Linked DNA regions of Arabidopsis thaliana. The protein of the gene in region 1 purifies or fractionates together with the protein of each later gene. This does not show direct contact. Each region holds a gene or a part of one and is shown in the gene's direction. Other genes may lie near its edges.

What was found.
Region 2: the proteins of AT2G30000 (region 1) and AT4G14342 fractionate together in Arabidopsis thaliana (co-fractionation; one large-scale study listed by BioGRID). This does not show direct contact.
Region 3: the proteins of AT2G30000 (region 1) and AT3G23325 fractionate together in Arabidopsis thaliana (co-fractionation; one large-scale study listed by BioGRID). This does not show direct contact.

Annotation. Positions count from the first base shown.
Region 1 is NC_003071.7:12,801,742-12,808,758, reverse strand, and holds AT2G30000 (PHF5-like protein), read left to right. Parts: upstream 1-3,734; 5' UTR 3,735-3,878; intron 3,879-4,361; 5' UTR 4,362-4,384; coding exon 4,385-4,717; 3' UTR 4,718-4,936; downstream 4,937-7,017. Other genes in the region: TBL45 (TRICHOME BIREFRINGENCE-LIKE 45), read right to left, coding at 745-903, 1,027-1,208, 1,803-1,974, 2,592-3,055.
Region 2 is NC_003075.7:8,251,449-8,259,420, reverse strand, and holds AT4G14342 (Splicing factor 3B subunit 5/RDS3 complex subunit 10), read left to right. Parts: upstream 1-3,816; 5' UTR 3,817-4,015; coding exon 4,016-4,021; intron 4,022-4,250; coding exon 4,251-4,336; intron 4,337-4,424; coding exon 4,425-4,638; 3' UTR 4,639-4,921; intron 4,922-5,584; coding exon of another isoform or gene 5,585-5,632; 3' UTR 5,633-5,885; downstream 5,886-7,972. Other genes in the region: AT4G14350 (AGC (cAMP-dependent, cGMP-dependent and protein kinase C) kinase family protein), read left to right, coding at 1-17, 201-284, 362-603, 688-907, 1,057-1,136, 1,223-1,307, 1,465-1,596, 1,692-1,805 and 4 more; CKI1 (casein kinase I), read left to right, coding at 7,753-7,846, 7,947-7,972.
Region 3 is NC_003074.8:8,341,746-8,349,078, forward strand, and holds AT3G23325 (Splicing factor 3B subunit 5/RDS3 complex subunit 10), read left to right. Parts: upstream 1-4,024; 5' UTR 4,025-4,062; coding exon 4,063-4,068; intron 4,069-4,252; coding exon 4,253-4,338; intron 4,339-4,422; coding exon 4,423-4,546; intron 4,547-4,621; exon of another isoform or gene 4,622-4,911; intron 4,912-5,063; coding exon 5,064-5,111; 3' UTR 5,112-5,397; downstream 5,398-7,333. Other genes in the region: AT3G23310 (AGC (cAMP-dependent, cGMP-dependent and protein kinase C) kinase family protein), read left to right, coding at 78-157, 253-337, 489-620, 710-823, 937-984, 1,120-1,204, 1,296-1,352, 1,456-1,610; AT3G23320 (Polynucleotidyl transferase, ribonuclease H-like superfamily protein), read left to right, coding at 2,884-3,459; AT3G23330 (Tetratricopeptide repeat (TPR)-like superfamily protein), read left to right, coding at 5,455-7,333.

The DNA of each region.
Region 1 (7,017 bases):
TATAGTATAATCTTTTGCAAGTTGCAATGAAGAGAAGCTTTCTCATTGGCAAAACTTAAGCAATTGGACTATTATTTTTGGGACCCTATTCAAAAACACACAGCTCATATGTGGACCTTTATATATTAAAAAAACACTATTCTTATCCTTATGTTTCTTTCTTTTTCTGCACTAATGCAATATTGAAATCTCTTTTCGACGGCAAATAATAGACCATGCCAAATTGCCATTAGCCATCTTCATTTTTTTGACAAGGAAAATAGGGATTTTCGTTTTGAAATGACATATTATAACTCATAAGCAACTACTTTTTGTTGAAACATTATTTACATTTAAAGAAAAACTAGTACAATTATATACACACGTATTTTTCATCACGTCTACACTTTCTAGCTATAGCTAGCAAAGGCCATGCACAATGGTGGGTTACTAAAGACTAGAGAGAGTAGCTTGGTAGCAACTAGCAAGCCAATTTATTTAATATAGTTTGGCAACATCTAGCAAAAACTATCAATCCAACGCATATGTTTCCTATTTATTAATTTGCGTCGTTAATATCAAGATAATTAATTTATCAATTATCAACACTACACGTGCTTATATATGTCTCGTATAATGCTAATTATCATCATTCATCACATAGCTCCCAAAGTCTCGTGTAGTGTTAAAAACAAAGAAAAACTAATTTATGATAGTTTAGTGGTTGAATAATTCATTTTAAGATTAAGAGAGAGTGGTACATACTTGTAGTGTGTGGGTGAGACCGAGAGGAAGAAAACTCTAGTGAGAGGAGAATTGATATAACGAAGGACCCAACTAGACCACGTTCCTAGTCCTTTTCTCAACGCCACTAACCTATCCATGTCGCCGTAATATCTCCCACCTGTCTCCATCTGCTCCCACCTGTCTCATCCCAAAAAACTTTCACTATTCACTCATAATTTACAATAATGATCTATATGTTACCCTCCTAGTTATAGGTATGTGAAAAATTTCACTTATATAGAGGTTATAACTTTAGCTTACCCTCGTAAAGAACCTGTGTGGCTCCACCAGTGACCAGTGTTGAACAATAGAACGTCGGCTGTGCGCCAAGCATTCGATGCATCCACAGAGATTTCGTCGAGTTTAAGAGTTGTCTTTCCGTTAATTTTGTCGATGTCTACAAGATAAGGAGCTCTATAGAATGATACCTTCACGTTGTAGTCCTGTCATTGCATATACACATTAGCAAAGAACTGGAAGTAACTTGAGGTATAACTTAAGGTTTGAATGGTAACAAACAATAGTTTGTTTATCGCCTTTCAACTAATTTTAATGAATAGACCTAAACTTATTTTCAGCAAATTAAAATTGTTTTCATTTAAGTGCCTTAAAAGAATAAAGCTGAAAGCTAAAATTGTTTTCTTATCGGAAACTTAAAGAAAGTATTATTAAAGTAATATAAGAACTTCAATTTATAGCAAGAAAATTAATTCAGATTAATTAAAATGACTTCTTTCTAGTGGTCTTATTCTAATCCGAAGAGCTTAGATCAAAATTATCTGAAAATAAACTAATATTCCATATTCATACCAAAAAAAAGAAGTATAATACTGTAGATTAGTAGTAACTGATATTGCTTTATTGGACCAGTGAAACTGTCACCGACGACGTCAAGTTGTGAGGGTAATAATAGTTGAAAACGACGTTCAAAATTACAACTTTTGACCTCAATTTTCACGAGGTTATTCGAGAAAACTTGACCAAACAGAAAAAAAGTTTCATTTACCGACAATAGAAAATTTGTTTTGGGAACTTACAAGGATCTTGAAGGTAGAGAGAGGATCTTCATGAATGATGTGAGTATTAATGGACGGTGCTGATGAAGAGATCATACATATCAACGACTCCCATTGGTTTCTACCCAACGAATCACCAACGAACATTATGGTTTTGTCTCTCATTTCTTGTAGAAACTTCACTCCATTGAATCTGCTTTCCCAAATGGAGTATAATCAGAAAGGGGTTCCATAAATAAATCATTGCGTCGACATTACATATTTAAAATAATAAGTACTTATTATATTAACCGTACCAAACTCCACCTAATTAACAGTAAAATCAATTTGTTTTTTGTTAAAAACGAATCTGTTAAACTTGTACTTATTACACATTTAGAAAAGGAGAATCTCTCATAATTAACTAATAGAAAAATATATTATAAAGTTGTATGTATGTAATACCCCTAATTATGAAAAAAATGTAGTGAAGGAATGTCTATAACCATAAAATATTAAATACTAACAAATAATTTGGGATCATTGTATGATCCAAATACTATCGTATATATATGACAATTCTTGGTATAACCAGCTAGAATTTGTTTTTGTCTTTTTCATAAAGTAATCAAATTTACAATCTTGGTTGGTATAGTGGCCCTACCAAAAATTCATTTGCCAAAGCATAAGTTTTACTATTGGATGTCAGATTATAACCTCGGTATCAATAAAATGAATATTTCTTCCTCAAAAACAAGACAACTAAAATTAACATTAACCAAATTAATCTAACAAAGTAGAGCTAGTGACAAGTGAGTGAGTTTAAATAACCTAGGGACATTGCAGTTGAAAGGTTTCCACCGGAACTTGAGATAGTCGGAGTCAGGTCTGCCGTAAGTCTGGCAGTCGAATCCCGGATCTATGATTCCTCGGCCGCATTCTTTAGACCGGTAAAGTGGGTAAGTCTCATCCCGCACCCACTCGCCGGCGAACAGATCACAACTACTATGATTCACCGGGAAAACCACCTGACTTCGGCGAGGATGCTTCACGAAGTTGCTGTGGTTGCTTTGGATCGGCCGCCGGAAGAGAGGGAGAGGTGAAGCTGACGTCGCGTTTTGGAGAAGAAACAAGAAGAGGAAAGTGAGACATTGAACAGCCGCCATTAAAGAAGCGCTTGAAGAAAAGAAAAGAAAAGAGAGAGAGAGAAACGAGTAAAGAAGAGAAGTTGTTGTTATTATATGTTTGTCCTTTGCATGGAACTTACTAATACGTAATGTTTTCGAGGACTCCATCTTTTAAAAGGACGAAAAATATGGGGTCGGGTTTTAATTTATTTTCTTATAATAATTGAATTTAAGTATTTATGCTTTACCCATAAATAACAACATTTAATACCAGTATTAGTGAATTACGAGTTACTGCTCCGGACTCTGAAACTTAAACGGTTTTGGGAAACACATATAAAATCAATGTGTAACAGTAAAACAAACTTCAAACGTATTATCAATAGAAAAAAAGGTAAAACAAACGTATCAAGAATTCAAGGTATATAAATATAATAGATAACGAGTTAACGACCTTCTTTATGATCTCACAAGGTATCAAGATTTTGTAATTGTTCCTTAGAGAAAATACAAAAATGCAGATTCTTTGCTTTACTTTACCTCCATGTCTAGAATATGATCATTTTTTTTATAATTGTGAAAAAGCCACGTCACTGTGGTGATACTCAGTCAAAGCTAGGTCAATGAAATTACCAATTTGGCACTGACAGTGGCAGCTGCTAGTTGCGCACACTCATAAACGGTAACGTTTGGACCGGGTCTAAATTGGGTACTATTGATTAGGACATGGTTTAATTGATTTGACTGCCGGTTTGGTTTGGAGCAACTTAAACTAATCTGGTCCAATAATAATGGGCTTTTACTTTGGGCTTTAAAGATTCTGATTGGACCCACTTTACTAAACTGGAATCTGGATGCTTCGTTATTTGTGTAGAATCCGACCCGATTCGTTTTATTGCTCTTTTTGCTTCGTCGTCGATCTTGGCGCTCTGGAAATTTCTCGTCGCAACGTTCTTCTCTATTGGCTCAAGTTAGATCTCCCTTTACTTGTGTGAGTTTTATTTCACCTTTTTCTGGGGTTTGTTTATTTTGTGTACTGATTTCGTTGCTCTGAAATCTTAGGGTTTGTATTTTGTAATGTCTATGCTTATTGATGGAGCTTTCGGTAGTTTGATCAAATTTCAAATTTCTTATCGATAGTTTCTCTTCCACGATTTTGTTGGGTTAGTAGAGTAGGCCTCTGGAACTGGAAATTAGAAAATTTTGGCTGGAACTGATGCATGTAAGGTGTTCGACGAAATTCCTCTGAGAAACTATTAGTGACAAGCTTCTTTTTTGAAGTTTTACTTTCTTTTCTGATTCTCTAACTGTTGATTAGAGTTTAGTTTTTCAGTAGTTTTATTAATTCCTAGTCTCCATTTAGTTGGAAGGAGCTTATTAGTTTTCTTTTACTAAGCTATCTCTTGCTCACCTTTTCCTTTGTGAATGAGTATATAGACAAATGACCTCTTTTTGCTTTTGTTTTGGTTTGCAGATCAAACACTGTTCCAGTAAGCCATGGCGAAGCATCACCCTGATTTGATCATGTGCCGGAAACAACCCGGAATTGCTATTGGACGACTGTGTGAGAAATGCGATGGGAAATGCGTGATTTGTGATTCTTATGTGCGTCCGTGTACTCTAGTACGTATTTGTGATGAATGCAACTACGGGTCATTCCAAGGTCGGTGTGTTATATGCGGTGGCGTTGGAATCTCAGATGCTTATTACTGCAAAGAGTGTACACAGCAGGAGAAAGACAGAGATGGTTGCCCCAAGATTGTTAACCTTGGCAGTGCGAAAACCGATCTCTTCTATGAACGCAAGAAATACGGATTCAAAAAACGATGATAGTTCGGTATTTCGTGATTTGTACGGTCCTTTGATTACTTGATTTGGATCTCTTATGCTATGTGTAAACTTGTTTGTTGACCCCCGTTGCATAAAACATATATTCCAATAAAACCTGAAGATATTGGATACAAAACCTAAGTTATGCTTTGTTTTATGATTTTCTTAAGTTACACATGTTTCTCTCGATTATTTCTTAATACTTAAAAATTATATATATCATAATCTTACAAAGCCAAAGGAATATATTTATAACCAGACTCGAACAAACATGACAAGACCCGAGATTCATATTCGAGAAATGATGTTGTGAAGTCCGGTTCATCGATCAAGCAGTCGATAGTGATATAAAATTGAGTCTATCGTAAAATTTATCCCACCAAAATCCAATAATATCACCAGTCTTGAACTTTCTTTTATCAAGAATGTTACTCCATCCGTGAAACTTGAAATTTCCATCTTGCTCTTTTTTCATAATAAGAGTTGTTGTAATCTTCGAATCGTATTCGTATAAATCCAACAATTGTACCGAATCGTGTTGTGACAATTTTACACGACGATGTTTACTAAACCATGGAAATAAGTTTTTCTCTACAAACTCTTTAGGCATTGTTAATGTATTACTCAAACCTGTGTCTGATGCTTTCAACTTTATCAGGATGTTCAATGAATGGCTTGGATCAAACGGCTTATCGTGACACAACTCAGTTCTTGCCATGATTTAGCACAGAAATTATATGAATATCAGGTTTTGTATTGAAGAATTTGTTTATGGGTTAAGGATACATATATATATATATATATAACAATAATTGTGTTGCGTGGATGATTGTAATTAAGAGTTTTTGACAAAACAGATATGGTTTTTTCTTTCTCTCATAAATATCATAAGATTCACTATTGATTAAACATTTGGTATTTAAATATAATCAAAGTTTAAAATTAGTACTAGATTTTAACCCACGGTATACCGCGGGACGATTTATTTTGTAAAAGTAATATATATTAAAACTTGCAAATTTTATTTTTATAAAATATTTATATTTTACAGTTTATAATTGTTGTTAAGTAACGCTATACCACGAATCAATGAGACAATTGTTAAAAAACTGAAGTTTTAACCCCTATTAAAACAACATATTAATAATATTTTAAAAAATTTTAAATATTAATTCAAATACATCCACCATATAACACAATTCCAAAATAAAATCCGTTCTGTAATTTCTTTACCCGTCCCGTGATTTTTTTTAAAGTAGTAATTTTAAAATTTTAAGAATTATTTTTTATATATAAAAGTTTTGCAAATTGTATCATTCTCTAATACATTTATATTTTATAGTTTAATTTTATATATAGTAACATTATACATACCACATAACATTTTTGGTTTTATATAATCTTTTCTAAATTAGGATTATTTGATATATTTAATATTAGTGGTCTTAAAAAATAATAAATTAAAGATTTAACTTGTATTGAAACGGTGGATTGATTATATTTTACTTTTTTATTAATGTTGATTCAAAAACCCGTCCCTCCAAATCCGTCTTACCAAAAAGCCATTTATTTTATTAATATTAATTTTATTAATGATATGACTCTGAATTATAATCTAAACATTTTAGCTAATAACATAGGAGTGCACTATATTTATTTATTATGGGAATGTACCTTATGACCCGAATGCACTTTTACCCAAATCCACCAAAAAAAATCTTGCAAAAATACTATAGAGATAATAAACGATAGTCGGTTCTGATAGGTATAAGATTAGCAAATATATTAGTTAGCTTTTATTAGTTAAAGAATACAAATTGAAAAGGTATATTACACTTTATTCAAATATAGTATCAAAACTTATATAACACAGAGATTTGATAATTTTTTAATTGTTGAGTACTTTTTTTTGTGCTAATTTTTATGTGATTAAGATTTAATTGATTTCGTATATAAAATTATTAAATTGTTTTACGAACTTATTTGTTTATAATTTGGTAACAGATAGATATTCGAATATTTAGTATATTTTGCTTTAGTTTAGGAAATCTTTGATGACCCGTTTTTAGATCCAATAAGCCCTATAATCTAGATATTAACCTGCAGTATACCGCATGTAGGCTTATTATATATTAGTTAAACTAAAAACTTTTACTGTAAAGATGATTTTAAAATATATGATATTATTTTATTTGATTTTAAATGTATAGTAAACTGTGAGTTGTATATGTTTTGTTGATATTATCTATATTGTTTAGTGTTTAAGATTATACACATGTAGTTTGATTGTTAATTTAAGA
Region 2 (7,972 bases), on another chromosome or scaffold:
AGGGTGCATTCGGAGAGGTAACATCTCTTTTATAGATCATAGTCTGTTACTCTGTTTTCTCAGCCTCTCATTGGCATGCATCATCTTGAAATGTTCTCTGTGATGCATCCTTCTTGAAAGGTCTTCTTAGGCCATTTTTTTTACCACAGCTAATTTTTCAAAAAAGTATGGCATGCTAATTTTTCTCTTTCTCTTTGCAGGTTAGGATCTGTAGGGAGAAGGGAACAGGCAATGTCTATGCAATGAAGAAGCTTAAGAAATCTGAGATGCTTCGCAGAGGCCAGGTATTTAAATTCCTTCAAGTGGCTTTCGTTTGACATTTGTTTAGTTGGTTGATGTGAATGTGGAATCTGATTTTCAGGTGGAACATGTAAAAGCAGAGAGAAATTTACTTGCAGAAGTTGATAGCAATTGCATTGTCAAACTGTATTGTTCTTTCCAAGATGAAGAGTACTTGTATCTCATAATGGAGTATTTACCTGGTGGGGATATGATGACTTTACTTATGAGGAAAGACACCCTCACTGAAGACGAGGCCAGGTTTTATATTGGGGAAACTGTCCTGGCTATTGAGTCCATTCATAAGCACAACTACATTCACAGGTCAGTGAAGCAGAATATATGATTTAGTTCTAGCTCCCATTGTTATTTTGTTCTAAACGTCTTTTTTTCTCCAATGTGATACAGAGATATCAAGCCTGATAATCTGCTACTTGACAAAGACGGCCACATGAAATTGTCAGATTTTGGATTATGTAAACCATTAGACTGTAGTAATCTTCAAGAGAAAGACTTTACAGTTGCAAGAAACGTTAGTGGGGCTTTACAAAGTGATGGTCGCCCTGTGGCGACAAGACGCACCCAACAAGAGCAATTACTAAACTGGCAGAGAAATAGAAGGATGCTTGTAAGTTTCACTTATTCCTCATCTTTTCTTCCAGAGATGTGGAGTAGTCCACAGTATCCAGTATATTTCGTTATTGAAAGCAAATTCTCTCCATTGATATAGACATCTATGTTAGATATGACTTACTAGGTTAAGGTCATTACTTTCAGGCTTATTCCACAGTTGGCACTCCTGACTATATTGCCCCAGAAGTTCTGTTGAAAAAAGGATATGGAATGGAATGTGATTGGTAGGTGAAGCCAACCTATTCCTATTTGTGGTCTTTGATTTCTTTGGTGTAAATAAATAATATGGGTGAATAATCTTGAGATTTAGGTGGTCTCTTGGCGCCATTATGTATGAAATGCTTGTGGGGTTTCCGCCCTTTTATTCAGATGACCCAATGACAACTTGTAGGAAGGTAATTAATCCATTCCTTTTTGAATCTTTCATTTTAATATTGAAGGCAGACTGGCGATTTCAAGTCTTACATTTAATTTTAGTCTTTTTGTATCTCTTTGGTAATTCTAATGTGGAAACTTACCTCTTCTCGATTCATTATCTTCCCCCTTATGCAGATAGTAAATTGGAGAAATTACTTGAAATTCCCAGATGAGGTTAGACTATCACCAGAAGCCAAGGATCTTATTTGTAGGCTTTTATGCAATGTTGAACAAAGGCTTGGAACAAAAGGAGCAGATGAAATTAAGGTGTTGTATGCGTTGTTCAACTTTGAGATTCAAAGTTCCCTTATGTAAGATCATTGTGTGCAATTCTTAAAAACGATTTGACTGGTTTCTTTCAGGGTCACCCTTGGTTTAGAGGCACAGAATGGGGAAAATTGTATCAAATGAAAGCTGCCTTTATTCCCCAAGTTAATGATGAGTTGGACACCCAAAATTTTGAGAAATTTGAAGAGGTAACACACTGATACTATCAGCTAATGATGTCTATAGTGAAATATTGGTGCAATATATGCCACCAAATGATGTGGCATGATGTATATACTGAAATATTGGTATCACAGATGATTTTTATGCTCCTGATAAGGAAAATAATGTATACTCTTCTTTGATTCCTTCTGGAACAGACTGACAAGCAAGTTCCAAAGTCAGCCAAGTCAGGTCCATGGAGAAAGGTACAGCATAAGCACTGACTTTTTGGCATTATGTACCATCAAGCTTTTTTTTTTTATCTAATAGAAGAGTGATCATACTTCAAAATTTATCTATAAGTGGGTTCCTTGAGATATGTTGTTCTTTGATGATACTACAGACGTAGCTTAAAATATTACATGCAACAAAGAGCTCAGAATGATGAAATTGGCTCAGTTTCTGTCACAGGCGTTTCTATCTTTGTACTATATTCACAAAAACGTGATTCACTCTTTTAGGTTCAAATTTTCTTATGGTAATTTAGAATTTGGAGCTGATTGGGATGCTACTAACAGAATTATGTTGTTAATCTGCCAGTTCTGCATGTTGACGTGTGTTAGATGAATCACTTATCTTTTTGGACCAACATGATATAACTTAGAACCTGTTCTGTCAATAGAATTTATGTCATGAACCAAAAGGATTCTTGTGAATTTCATAACATGACGCTGGCTTTCTTTTTTTCTTCTCCAGATGCTCTCATCCAAAGACATTAACTTTGTTGGTTATACTTACAAGAACGTAGAAATCGTAAATGATGACCAAATACCAGGGATAGGTAATTCACTTAACCCCCCTTCCGTTGCTGAGGAAGAAGCAACAATACTAGATTACCTTGTGATTATCATCGCATGTTTGCTGCATTTGTAATTTGTTTTATTGTGCAGCTGAGTTGAAGAAGAAGAGCAATAAGCCAAAAAGGCCGTCTATTAAATCTCTCTTTGGTAAATCATCTGTTTGTATGCTATTTGTAAAATCAAGATGATTACGATCCATGTTTGATTCTCTCTAACCAAACTGTGGAAACTAAATTAACAGAAGACGAAACATCTGGTGGGACAACAACCCACCAAGGAAGCTTTTTGAATCTACTACCGACGCAGATTGAAGATCCAGAGAAAGAAGGTAGTAAGTCGAGCTCATCCGGGTGAATTTCATTTGACACATTGCACAGCCTGAACCAGAAGACTCTTGTTATATTAACATGTGTGTTGTTGATTTCGTTGAAAGCCTTTTGCTTTCTCTAAACGACTGTTAAAAGTTGGAGTTAGCAGGGGTTTTTCAACAAAGTACAGTCTCTCCAGTGGAAGCGAAGGCTCTCCCAGAGGAGAAAGATGGATTTGTTTAATTGTTTTCAACATAGAAAAGTGAAAAAGTAAATATTCTTTTCGGAATTGGCTTGTTTATTTATTTTCACAGGGAGAGAAGGTGAGCTTTGGTATTTGATTTTTTTTTTTTTGGTTAATCAAAACTTGGTTGTACTACTAAACCTCAAGATGAAATCTTCACCCTCTAATGCTATAAGCAAAAGTATTTACTATTTATTAGATTAGAAAAAGCGCCAATCTGAAAAACTGTTCTCACTGAATGTGTTTAATTGAGTACACTCAAGAGTGAAACAGATGGCTTAATGGCACCTCAGATTTGGTGCTAAAAGTCTACAGTCTACACTATATGTAGGCCTTTGGAACCAATTGCGTGTGAAGACTGAAGACTAAAAAGTGCATACAAAAGAAGTAGAGAACAAATGTACCTCTATGAGTATTCGTAGGCCCTTAAGAGACCTTCTTCAAATGTCAAAATAGTATAAAAAAGAAAAAAGACTAAGTGTGGCTGCTGGGATTCGAGCCCAGGTCCCCACGGCCACAACGTGGGATTCTAACCACTAAACTACAGCCACTTTTGTTTGTATTCTGTAGATTGATAATGATTAAAGAATCCACAATTGTTAGCCAAATTCCAAGCTTCTTGCCTTAACTTCTTTATTATGTGAAACGACCACGTTTTCATTTTATGATCTACTACTTCGGGTACACCGAACGAACCGGTCGGTTATTTCGGATTTAAATATTAACCGAAAACAATTAGCAGATAAAGGACTTGAAGAAAGATAGGGTTTAGATCTTCTTCTTCTTCTTCTTCTTCTTCTTCTTCTTCTTCTTCTTCTTCTAGTTGCTGCGAAACTCTGAAAAAGATGCAGGTATGTTCTCGATCCGAAACCCTAGCTTTTGTTGGTAAATTGGAAGAAGAAATAACCTAATTAGCTTCTTCTACCTTTGATTCTCTGTCTGTTTAATTTATCTATGTCGAAGAGAATTGGCTTAGACGAAATTAGGTCGATTTGTTTCTTATAAAGCATATATAGATGAAATCGGGAACAATTTGCTTTAAATTTAACATCTTTTGGTTTGGGTTTTTTTCTTTTGCAGGCAAGTGATAGGTTTAACATCAATTCTCAGCTTGAGCATCTTCAAGCTAAATATGTTGGAACCGGTCATGCTGATTTGAGTAGATTGTGAGTTTCTTTTGATTTTAGTGTTCAAATTTTTATATGCATTGTTTTTATTGGCTACTAATTTGTGGAATTGGTTTAAATGGTACAGTGAGTGGGCTGTGAACATTCAGCGTGATAGTTATGCTTCATACATTGGTCACTACCCTATGCTTTCATACTTTGCTATTGCTGAGAACGAGTCTATTGGACGAGAACGCTACAATTTCATGCAGGTTTGCCTCCTTTCATGTCTTTTGCATATTACTTTCTCTAGTGACAAATCTACAGTTCAAGATTTGGATTATGATTCTATGTTTATTTGATTAGGTGCGTATCATATGGTTATGTAACTTATGTTGCCTTCCAGATTTATTGCTTTGTTGTATGGTTTTTAGTTTACTGTTAAATGTCGTATTTGTCTATTCGTCGTGATATTTTGATTTCTTAGACCATGGACTTCAGTTTTGACTGACTATTTCAGCAGCCTCTAGTTCTGTAGGATACAATTATATTAGAGAGCGTTGGGTCATGGTCTTACTCAACTCGGTTGGTTTCGGTTTATTCGCCTCTTGCATGGTTGAAATGTGTGATAGGTTAGAATTTCATGTAGGTTTGCTTCCTATTCTCTGTGTTAATAGGAATCTTATCAGTAAAATTCTGTACTTTCCTTTTGCCTCATCCTTTATCTAGTGACAAATCTACAGTTCAAGGTTTGGATTATGATTCTATGTGTAGTCGATTAGGAATGTATCATTTCGTGGTTATCTTGTGGTATATCTCATTCCTTTTCCTTTTCAGATTCATTGATTTGTTGTATGGTTTTAGTTTAGGTCTTGTCAATGGCGTATTTCTCTATTTGTCGTGATATGTTGATTTCCTAGACTATGGACTTCACATTTCACTGACCATTCAGCAGCCTCCAGTTGTGTAGGTTACAATTAGATTATAGAGCATTAGGTTATGGTGTGGTCTCTCACTCAAATGTTTTCATTTGTCCTCAATTCTCAAATTAATGGAAGCTTAGTTCCTTTCACAAACAGTTGTGAGCTCGCCTTGGCTTTCAGTTTTTTCATGAAACAGGTCTCTTACATGGTTGAATAATCTTGTGATAGCGATCTCTTATATCTGAATATATGGTCTTCTTGAGGGTTAATCGAAAAGCATAGAAAAATATGAATATTTGTGGGGTGTTCTTTGCTCAAAAAATTGGTTACACTTTGTAGATGTGATGATGTTTTGGAATAACTTGAGATGTCTTTTGATTTCCAGAAAATGCTATTACCCTGCGGCCTTCCTCCGGAAAGAGAAGAGGAATAGGTGACATGAGGATTCGATTTGTCTTTCAAGTTATCAAGAACTCGTGTGATGGAATGTTGGTTTGGAGTTTTAAAAACTGTCCAATTTGATCTTCTGGTAGAGATTTATATGACTGTTAAAAAACAACTTTGTCTGTGTAAGTTTGCTTTTCTTGAATGTAAAAAACAAAACACCTTGGATTTTTAGGTTGGTTTTACACGGTTTCGTGTTTTAATCAAATTCATCAAAATTTTCAATTTTTGAACTATCCAAAAACCCGAATAATCCGACATAACCGTTATTGCATGCCTAGTTTGATTTGTTAAAAGTTCCCGACATAAATTCTTACCGTGGGATGTCCAAACGACAAGAAAACAACGGGTGTGACAAATGGACAAATAAAAGCAAAAAGCTTAGGCCACTTAAACCAAAAGCCATTTCATCAAACGTATTCTAAAATCTAAACTATAAATAATGTAATATCGTCAACGATGGAAGCCTATAAACACTATAGTTGATATAATCATACGCATCTATTATAAGCTTGCTTACTTATGGATAATTTTTCTTATTCTCTTTGACTTATTTTTGCCTAGTTTCATTGACCATCATAATACTTTAACAATACCGAAAGTTTCATAAACATTATAAAACTTTAGTCATTGTATACAATCCGAAAGTTTCATAAACATTATAAAACTTTAGTCATTGTATACAATTATCAATAAGTTTTGTTTCCCATGCATGTGAAATATCACTTGACTCAAGATGAATGGTCCTAACACGTTTACCTTTAGAGACACATGTTAATTTTCATATTGAAAATGAAAGTAAAAACAAAATGCTTAATATAGCATAGAAGAACATTAGCTATCCTACTAAATTACCATATAGAAGAAACTCATGAATTTCACACTGTGTTCATGAGTTCATCGAGAAGATCTACTAACGACATGTAAACTGGTTATTAAGTATGAGCTTGATTTCTCAAGACTCATCAACAAGTGTTCCATGTATCGACGTTACCAAGCGTTCGGGAGATCCACAAGTAAATGGATGCTTTCTTTTTTAAATTGTTTGAACTTTTATAAAATCAGGTCCTTTACATGCACTTCCAGAATCTGTCCAAGCGAGAGATCATAAGATAGAACAAAGTGATAATATGATAATATTGCGCTAGTACACGATTTGTTGACAGTTTAAATCCAAAAATGTTCATCAACATATTGGTACGATTAGTAAATGAGTAAAAAAAAACTTAAATAAATCAATGTAAATTGGGTGATGTATGTAGACTTAGGTATTGCACTAACTTGATTTTATTGATTCACAAAGTATAGTATTTATACAAGAGAGACATCTTATGAGATATACTCTAATCCCTAAAATATAGGACATAACTCTATCACAAGATATATAGTGATAATCTTAATGAGATTATACTCTATCCCCAATAATGTATCAAAATATATAAACGTAAAATGAAAATTTCAGCTTGAAAAATGACAAATGTAGAACTTTTTTTTTTGGTGGTAGATTCTGTTTTTAATAAAAATATATTATAAAGTTTTGCAAACTTGTTTCGTGTTGTTGTTGATTAAGTGATGTTTATGGTTATTACGAATTAGAGTTTTGGTCGTTAGAAAACAGAGAATTTAAATGTTAAACCGTGCACGAAAACAACTAATTTTTTCTTCTAAGTAATTAAAAAAAAAACAGTATACAAAAATAAAATAAAAAGATTCAATGAATGATAAATATTTACGTTGAAGTTTTGTCTTTCTTTAGGTTAAATTCAATTTTCACATATTCATTTCTTTATTATTCCCTTCTTCTTCTTTCTCTTTCTCTTTTCTTCCGCAAATCTCCGCAAAATCTTCCCTCAAACTCAGATCCGATTCTTCTAATTCTTTGTCCCCCCAGAGATTCTTCTTCTTTCTCCAAGTAAAAGAAAACAACTTTCTTTCTCTTTTCTTGCGAAAGTCCTCAACTTTCACCACTAAATCAGCTTCCTTCAATCACTGTGTTTGCTTTGGACCCAGTTTCTGATTTAGCGACTAGGGTTTTGATTGGAACCGTATTAAGTATATGAGAATCGGGTTTTACTGGTGAATCGGATTATCATCGGAATTCGGAAAAAGATGGATCGGAATCAAAAGATGGATCACGTTATCGGCGGGAAGTTTAAGTTGGGTAGGAAGCTTGGAAGTGGATCATTCGGTGAACTTTATTTAGGTATCAAATCAATCTATTCACATCTTGAGAGTGTTTACTAGTTCTTGCATTGGGTTTGTTTAGTTGTTGTTGAAGTGTAATCTATGTGTGTATGATTTAGGGATCAATATTCAAACTGGAGAAGAA
Region 3 (7,333 bases), on another chromosome or scaffold:
TTATGGAAGTTTTTCTCACTGATATATAAGTTTTCTGTTCAAATACAGCTTATTAAGTGAAATGCTATCAATTGCAGGCTTATTCTACAGTTGGAACTCCTGACTATATTGCTCCAGAAGTTTTGTTGAAGAAAGGATATGGCATGGAATGTGATTGGTAGGTGCAGCAAATCTGTTGGGTCTTGTTCTGTTTTGTTTCTTCAACTCAAAATACATTGTTGTCGATAATTTTTTCGGGTTTTCTTCCTATAGGTGGTCACTTGGTGCGATCATGTATGAAATGCTTGTGGGGTTTCCACCATTTTATTCAGACGAGCCAATGACAACTTGTAGAAAGGTACCAATCCTCACTTTTTGTGGACTTTAACTCTGTTCTAGACTTCTAGTAATCTCAAATTTTTGCATTCGATTTAGTTCTTGATCTTCTAATGATACCTCTTTGGTAATATATGCACATCTCTGAATACTTGTTATTGTTTTTAATGCAGATAGTAAATTGGAAAAATTATTTAAAATTCCCTGATGAGGTTAGGCTATCACCAGAAGCCAAGGATCTAATTTGTAGACTTTTATGCAACGTAGAACAAAGGATTGGAACAAAAGGAGCAAATGAAATTAAGGTACTTTGTGCTTTATAATTCGAAGTTCCCGTGTCTAAAGACTATCGATAAATGCTTAAATAAACGCTTTCTGCTGGTATTTTTTGTAGGAACACCCTTGGTTCAGTGGTGTCGAATGGGAAAAGTTGTATCAGATGAAGGCTGCTTTTATTCCCCAAGTTAATGACGAGCTGGACACCCAAAATTTCGAAAAATTCGAAGAGGTAAAAACTAAAAGTGTTCGGATCAGAAAAACCGTTTGAAATGATAAGGCAACGGTCCAATGATGCGTATGCAGCTGTTGATATAGAAACTAATATAAATTCTTCTGTAACAGACTGATAAGCAAGTTCCGAAGACGCCAAAATCAGGTCCATGGAGAAAGGTACAAAATATTCTTGCTTTCATGTCTTTCTATGAAATGAAAACTTAGCTTGAAGTCATGCATATGAACTAATACTATGTGTTGTCATTAGCATTCTTAACATAAGAGTGTCTTTGTGTTTTGTTTTCTCTCCAGATGCTCTCATCCAAAGACATAAACTTTGTGGGTTATACTTACAAGAACGTTGAAATCGTAAACCATGATCAATTACCAGGGATAGGTAGATCTCACTTACACAACAAATTTGACTTGTAAGTAAACATATTCCATGTTTGCTCTGTTGTAATTTGTGATTGTGTTTACTGTTGCAGCTGAGCTGAAGAAGAAGAGCACAAAGCCAAAGCGGCCATCAATTAAATCCCTCTTTGGTACTTATCTAAAAGACATTTATCACAATCTATTTCAACTCATTGTCTGATATTAGCATATGGTTTTAGCACTAACAAGAATTGTTATAAAAACATTTGGCAGAGGATGAATCAGCCAGTAGCACCACAAGCCACCAAGGAAGCTTTATGAAACTCTTGCCAACACAAATCGAAGTTCCAGAGAAAGAAGACAAATCAAGCTCATCTAGTGAAACCCTATCATCTTCCACCACACGTTTCGACAATGCCACATCCTAAACCAGACTCTTTGCTACACTTTGGTCCCGGTTAACACACCAAAACACGGTTTGAGGTGGCGGATTTACGGTTGGAGATAGTACAGTTTCCATTGTGGCGGTGAAGGCTATTGTGTGAGAAGATTAAGGATTTGTTCAACAGTTTCTACATAGGATAATATTTGGTTGTTCAAAAGGTTTAGTTTGAAGCAAAAGGAAGTAAATAGTCATTTTCAGAATGTGGTTTTATTTATTTGTTTGATTGTTTTGTTTGGGTAAAAATCAAATTTGGTTTGTTTACCACACAGTTCTAAAGCGGACAATGGGAAAAATGTCAAAAAAATCATGAACTTTCAAATTTGGGACGAAAAAAACATGAACTTCCAAAATGCCATTAAAATCGTAAACTTTTGTTTGACTTTTGATAAATAGTCAAGTTTTGTTGACTTTGCCATTTTGAACATGTCGTTAAGTTTTCGTTAACAAAAAGATAACGTGATTAATTTTCTGTTAATTTTTTCTGTTAAAAGCGAAACGACGTCGTTTTGAAATTAAAGAAAAAAACAAAAAACAAACACCAAGTAGAGTTGAACTGGTGACCTTTTAGGTGCTATTGAAGGACTAAAACCATTGAGCCACGTTAACTTTTTAGAAGTATAGTAAACATATACATATATATATATATATACGTAACTAATTAAAAATAACCAACTAAAATAAATCAATAATATAGAAAATTACCTAAAATTTACACAATCCTTCTCATATGAATATAGGATTAATCTATACATGCACATAGAATTTCATTCAACTTCACTTTATATATAATTTTATTTATAATAAAACATATATTTTATAAATTAATTTGATAAATATTTAATAAAAGAAAAATATAAGATCATTATTCCGTCTTCAAATCAATTTTTTTATTCATAATTAGATGGAAAGTATATAAAAAGTTATTTTTTGGTAATATATTTATAGGTGTTATATTTCACAAGTTTGATTTTTATATAATTTAAGAGAATTTTTTTTTAATTCAATACGTTTAATAAAAAAATTTACATTGTTATTTGAGAATATATATTAATGGTAGGTGTATTTAATATTTTTACATGTTTAGTTATTGTTTTTATAGTTCGGTTTTTATTTGGTAGGTGCATTTTTATAATTTACATCATTTTTAATATTTTTATTTGCCATTTTGGTTAATATGGAGGATTTGGAAGAGCCGGAATGATTTAGTCTTCAACAAAAAAGCAATCGCTGTCGCTGATGTGATAAACCAAGCGATAATGGACACGAAAGAATGGCTGGATGTTAAGCATAAAAATGATGACAACGTCAAAGGGGGCCAAACCAAGTCCTCAAGAACGGACAAATGGCAAAAACCAGGAGCAGAATGGGTCAAATGCAATTATGATGTCTCTAACCATGCGGGAAGACAAGACTCAGGCCTCAGATGGATTATTCGAAACTCACAAGGAACCTGTTTGGACTGCGGCTGCGGGAAATTTCAGGGTCGACAAACAATAAAGGAAGCTGAATGCACTGCCCTCATATGGGCAATACAATGCGCTTGGGATTTGGGATATAGGAGAGTAGAATTTGAAGGCGACAACATCACAGTTAATCGCCTTATTCGAAACAAAGAAACTAATCCACGACTTCGATACTATTTGGAATTCATTCAACAATGGAGCAAAGCTTTCACCACTGTGAAGTTCACATTTCGACACCGGGAACAAAACGTTTGTGTTGATGTTCTGGCGAAAAAAGCAGTAGCTAATCATATAAATCATACTCTATATCATTTTTGTCCTAGATTTCTAATGTCGTTTGTAAACAAAGATGCTGAACACGTGAATTAATAAAGTTATTGGAAGGAAAAAAAAAAAAAATAGTTCGGTTTTTAATTAGTTTTGCGTATATATATATATATCAGTTTTCATTAATATCGAAATGTTATCATAGCATATTGGTTGAGCGCTTGTGATAATTTAGGAGGTTCACGAGTTCAATCCATTCTTGGCGCAAATTTTAATATATTTTTATTTTGAAACGACGTCGTTTCGCTTCTAACGGAAAATGTTAACGAAAAGTTAACTCCGTTATTTTGTTGTTAACGGAAATTTAACGACATGCCCAAAATAGTAAAGTCAACGAAACTTAATCATTTTATCAAAAGTCAGACGAAATTTTATAATTTTAGCGGCATTTCGGAAGTTCACGTTTTTTTTATCCCAAATTTAAAAGTTAATGATTTGGTTTGATTGAAATGTCCGGTTCTGGTTTGGTTTTCTTTTGTACCGGTTCTCATAATAATAGCCACGTATTAAAAATTTATTAGTAATGGATTTGGGCCAGACCCATTCTCAAAGCCCAATCAATTTCTCAGTGAAACATATATAAACCTAATTAAAGTGAAGCAGAAGTTGTATTCTTCTTCTTGCGAACTCGCTGAAGTCTGAAAGATGCAGGTTTGTCTCTCTCGATTCGAAACCCTAGTTACTTTTTTTTGTTCTTATCTCTAATTTTATACAATTTCTTGACGATTAAGCTAAGCGTAGCTGAAATCTGGGAACAATTTGCTTTAGTTCTTGTAAAGGTTAGGTTTTTAAGCAGCAGATAGTTATGTAATCTCACTTTTTTGTTTTTGTGCAGGCAAGTGATAGGTTTAACATAAATTCTCAGCTTGAGCATCTTCAAGCTAAGTATGTTGGTACAGGTCATGCAGATTTGAGCAGATTGTAAGTATTTTTCACTTTTTGTTTGGATTTTTCAGGATTCCAAAATTGTGAACTTATTGAAAATTTTGAATGTTTTTGTGTTAGTGAATGGACTGTGAACATTCAGCGTGATAGTTATGCTTCATACATTGGTCACTACCCGATGCTTTCTTACTTTGCAATAGCTGAGAACGAATCTATTGGTCGAGAACGTTACAACTTCATGCAGGTTTGTTTACTATCTTTCTTCTTGCATCATGTCAAGGAATCATATTGAGAATGTTAATGTGTTAGTGTCTTAAGGGAGAGGAACAATTAGGGTTGTTTCAAACAGGGTAAAGTGTTCCTGCTGCTCCCCTCTTTAGCTTGGAGAAGCCAGTAAATATCTTTCTCTTCAAGGAACTTGTGGGCCTCAAGAAAACCTGCTATAATTCTAGTTTTTCAACATTCCTCCTTCTGATATCAGCAACAACTCCTTACCCTTAAGAATGGAGAATGGAACTTCCTCAAAGATATTTACTTGGCCTCTGCAACCGGAAAGGGGAGCAGCATGAAACTCTTTTAACCCTTACCCTGTATTTGTCAAAAACAGATTGTATCATATCGTAAGTTAGCAGGAAACTACCAATCTTGAGGGTTGTTTCAAACTGTTATCTTCTGGTTCTTCTACACTCAAGAGTCAATGACTTTGCATTTTTGCTAATAGCTTTTACTAACTCCAAACTTCTTTGATTTTTTTTTTGCAGAAAATGCTCTTACCTTGCGGCCTTCCTCCAGAAAGAGAAGACGAGTAAGAGCTTGTGTGCATTTGAAATTAAAAAAAACATTCTACTTCTTAGAAGCTTGTGTGCAATCTTCTTTAACTGCTCCACCAATGTAATTGCCGAAAAGGCTTCTTCTTGTTTCTAGTTCATAATGCAGTTGTTGATCATGATCTAAACATTTGTACTTTGTTATAGTCTTGATACAATTGTCAAACTCAAAGTCTTTTTGCTACTCGAACAACTATTGCAAAAGAATTGAATTGAACAAGTCATAAAAAAAAGAGGTTAAAAGTTGGAGTATTTAAATGAATGACGAAAATAAAAATCAAACCTTTATGTTTGCTAATGGTGAATCTCTGAGAAGGAGACAAAGATGAGTTCATCAAAAGCCCTAATCAAAACCCTGATTAAGAATCCAACTCGAATCAAATCCAAATCTCAAGCGAAGCAGCTTCACGCACAATTCATCAGAACTCAATCACTCTCTCATACATCAGCTTCAATCGTAATCTCAATCTACACAAACCTTAAACTTTTGCACGAAGCTTTGCTTCTTTTCAAAACCCTTAAGTCTCCTCCTGTTCTAGCATGGAAGTCAGTAATCAGATGCTTCACCGACCAGTCTCTATTCTCCAAGGCGTTAGCTTCGTTTGTGGAAATGCGAGCTTCTGGGAGATGCCCAGATCACAATGTGTTTCCTTCTGTTTTGAAATCGTGTACGATGATGATGGATTTGAGATTTGGTGAGTCTGTTCATGGGTTTATTGTTAGGCTTGGTATGGATTGTGATTTGTATACTGGTAATGCGCTTATGAATATGTATGCTAAGCTTCTTGGTATGGGTTCTAAGATTAGTGTAGGTAATGTGTTCGATGAAATGCCTCAAAGAACGTCCAATTCTGGAGACGAAGATGTAAAGGCTGAAACTTGCATTATGCCTTTTGGAATAGACAGTGTGAGGAGGGTTTTTGAAGTGATGCCTAGAAAGGATGTTGTGTCGTATAATACTATCATTGCAGGGTATGCACAGAGTGGAATGTATGAAGATGCTTTGAGAATGGTTAGGGAGATGGGAACTACTGACTTAAAGCCTGATTCTTTTACTTTGTCTAGTGTGCTTCCGATATTTTCTGAGTATGTGGATGTTATTAAGGGGAAAGAGATTCATGGGTATGTGATTAGGAAAGGGATTGATAGTGATGTATATATTGGGAGTAGTTTGGTTGATATGTATGCGAAAAGTGCTCGGATTGAAGACTCTGAAAGAGTGTTTTCTCGCTTGTATTGTCGGGATGGTATCTCGTGGAACTCGCTTGTAGCTGGGTATGTACAGAATGGTAGATACAATGAGGCTCTGAGATTGTTCAGGCAAATGGTGACCGCAAAGGTTAAGCCAGGGGCTGTGGCGTTCTCAAGTGTGATTCCTGCTTGTGCTCACCTAGCCACCTTGCACCTTGGGAAACAACTTCACGGATATGTATTAAGGGGTGGCTTTGGCAGTAACATATTCATAGCTAGTGCACTTGTTGATATGTACTCGAAATGTGGGAATATTAAGGCTGCTAGGAAGATTTTTGACAGGATGAATGTACTCGATGAAGTATCATGGACGGCTATTATAATGGGGCATGCGTTACATGGTCATGGGCATGAAGCAGTTTCGTTGTTTGAGGAGATGAAACGACAAGGAGTGAAACCGAATCAAGTGGCATTTGTTGCTGTACTAACGGCTTGTAGTCATGTGGGGTTGGTAGATGAGGCATGGGGATATTTCAACAGCATGACTAAGGTTTACGGTTTAAACCAGGAGTTAGAACATTATGCAGCTGTAGCGGATCTTCTAGGCCGTGCAGGGAAGCTGGAAGAAGCATACAATTTCATTTCAAAGATGTGTGTTGAACCAACTGGTAGTGTCTGGTCTACCTTATTGTCTTCTTGCAGCGTTCACAAGAATCTTGAGTTGGCTGAGAAGGTAGCGGAGAAGATATTCACTGTCGATTCTGAAAACATGGGAGCTTATGTTTTGATGTGCAATATGTATGCGTCTAATGGAAGATGGAAAGAAATGGCGAAACTAAGATTGCGTATGAGGAAGAAAGGATTGCGGAAAAAGCCAGCTTGTAGTTGGATCGAAATGAAAAACAAGACTCATGGATTTGTTTCAGGAGATAGATCGCATCCGAGTATGGACAAGATCAACGAGTTTCTTAAAGCTGTAATGGAACAGATGGAGAAAGAAGGGTATGTTGCAG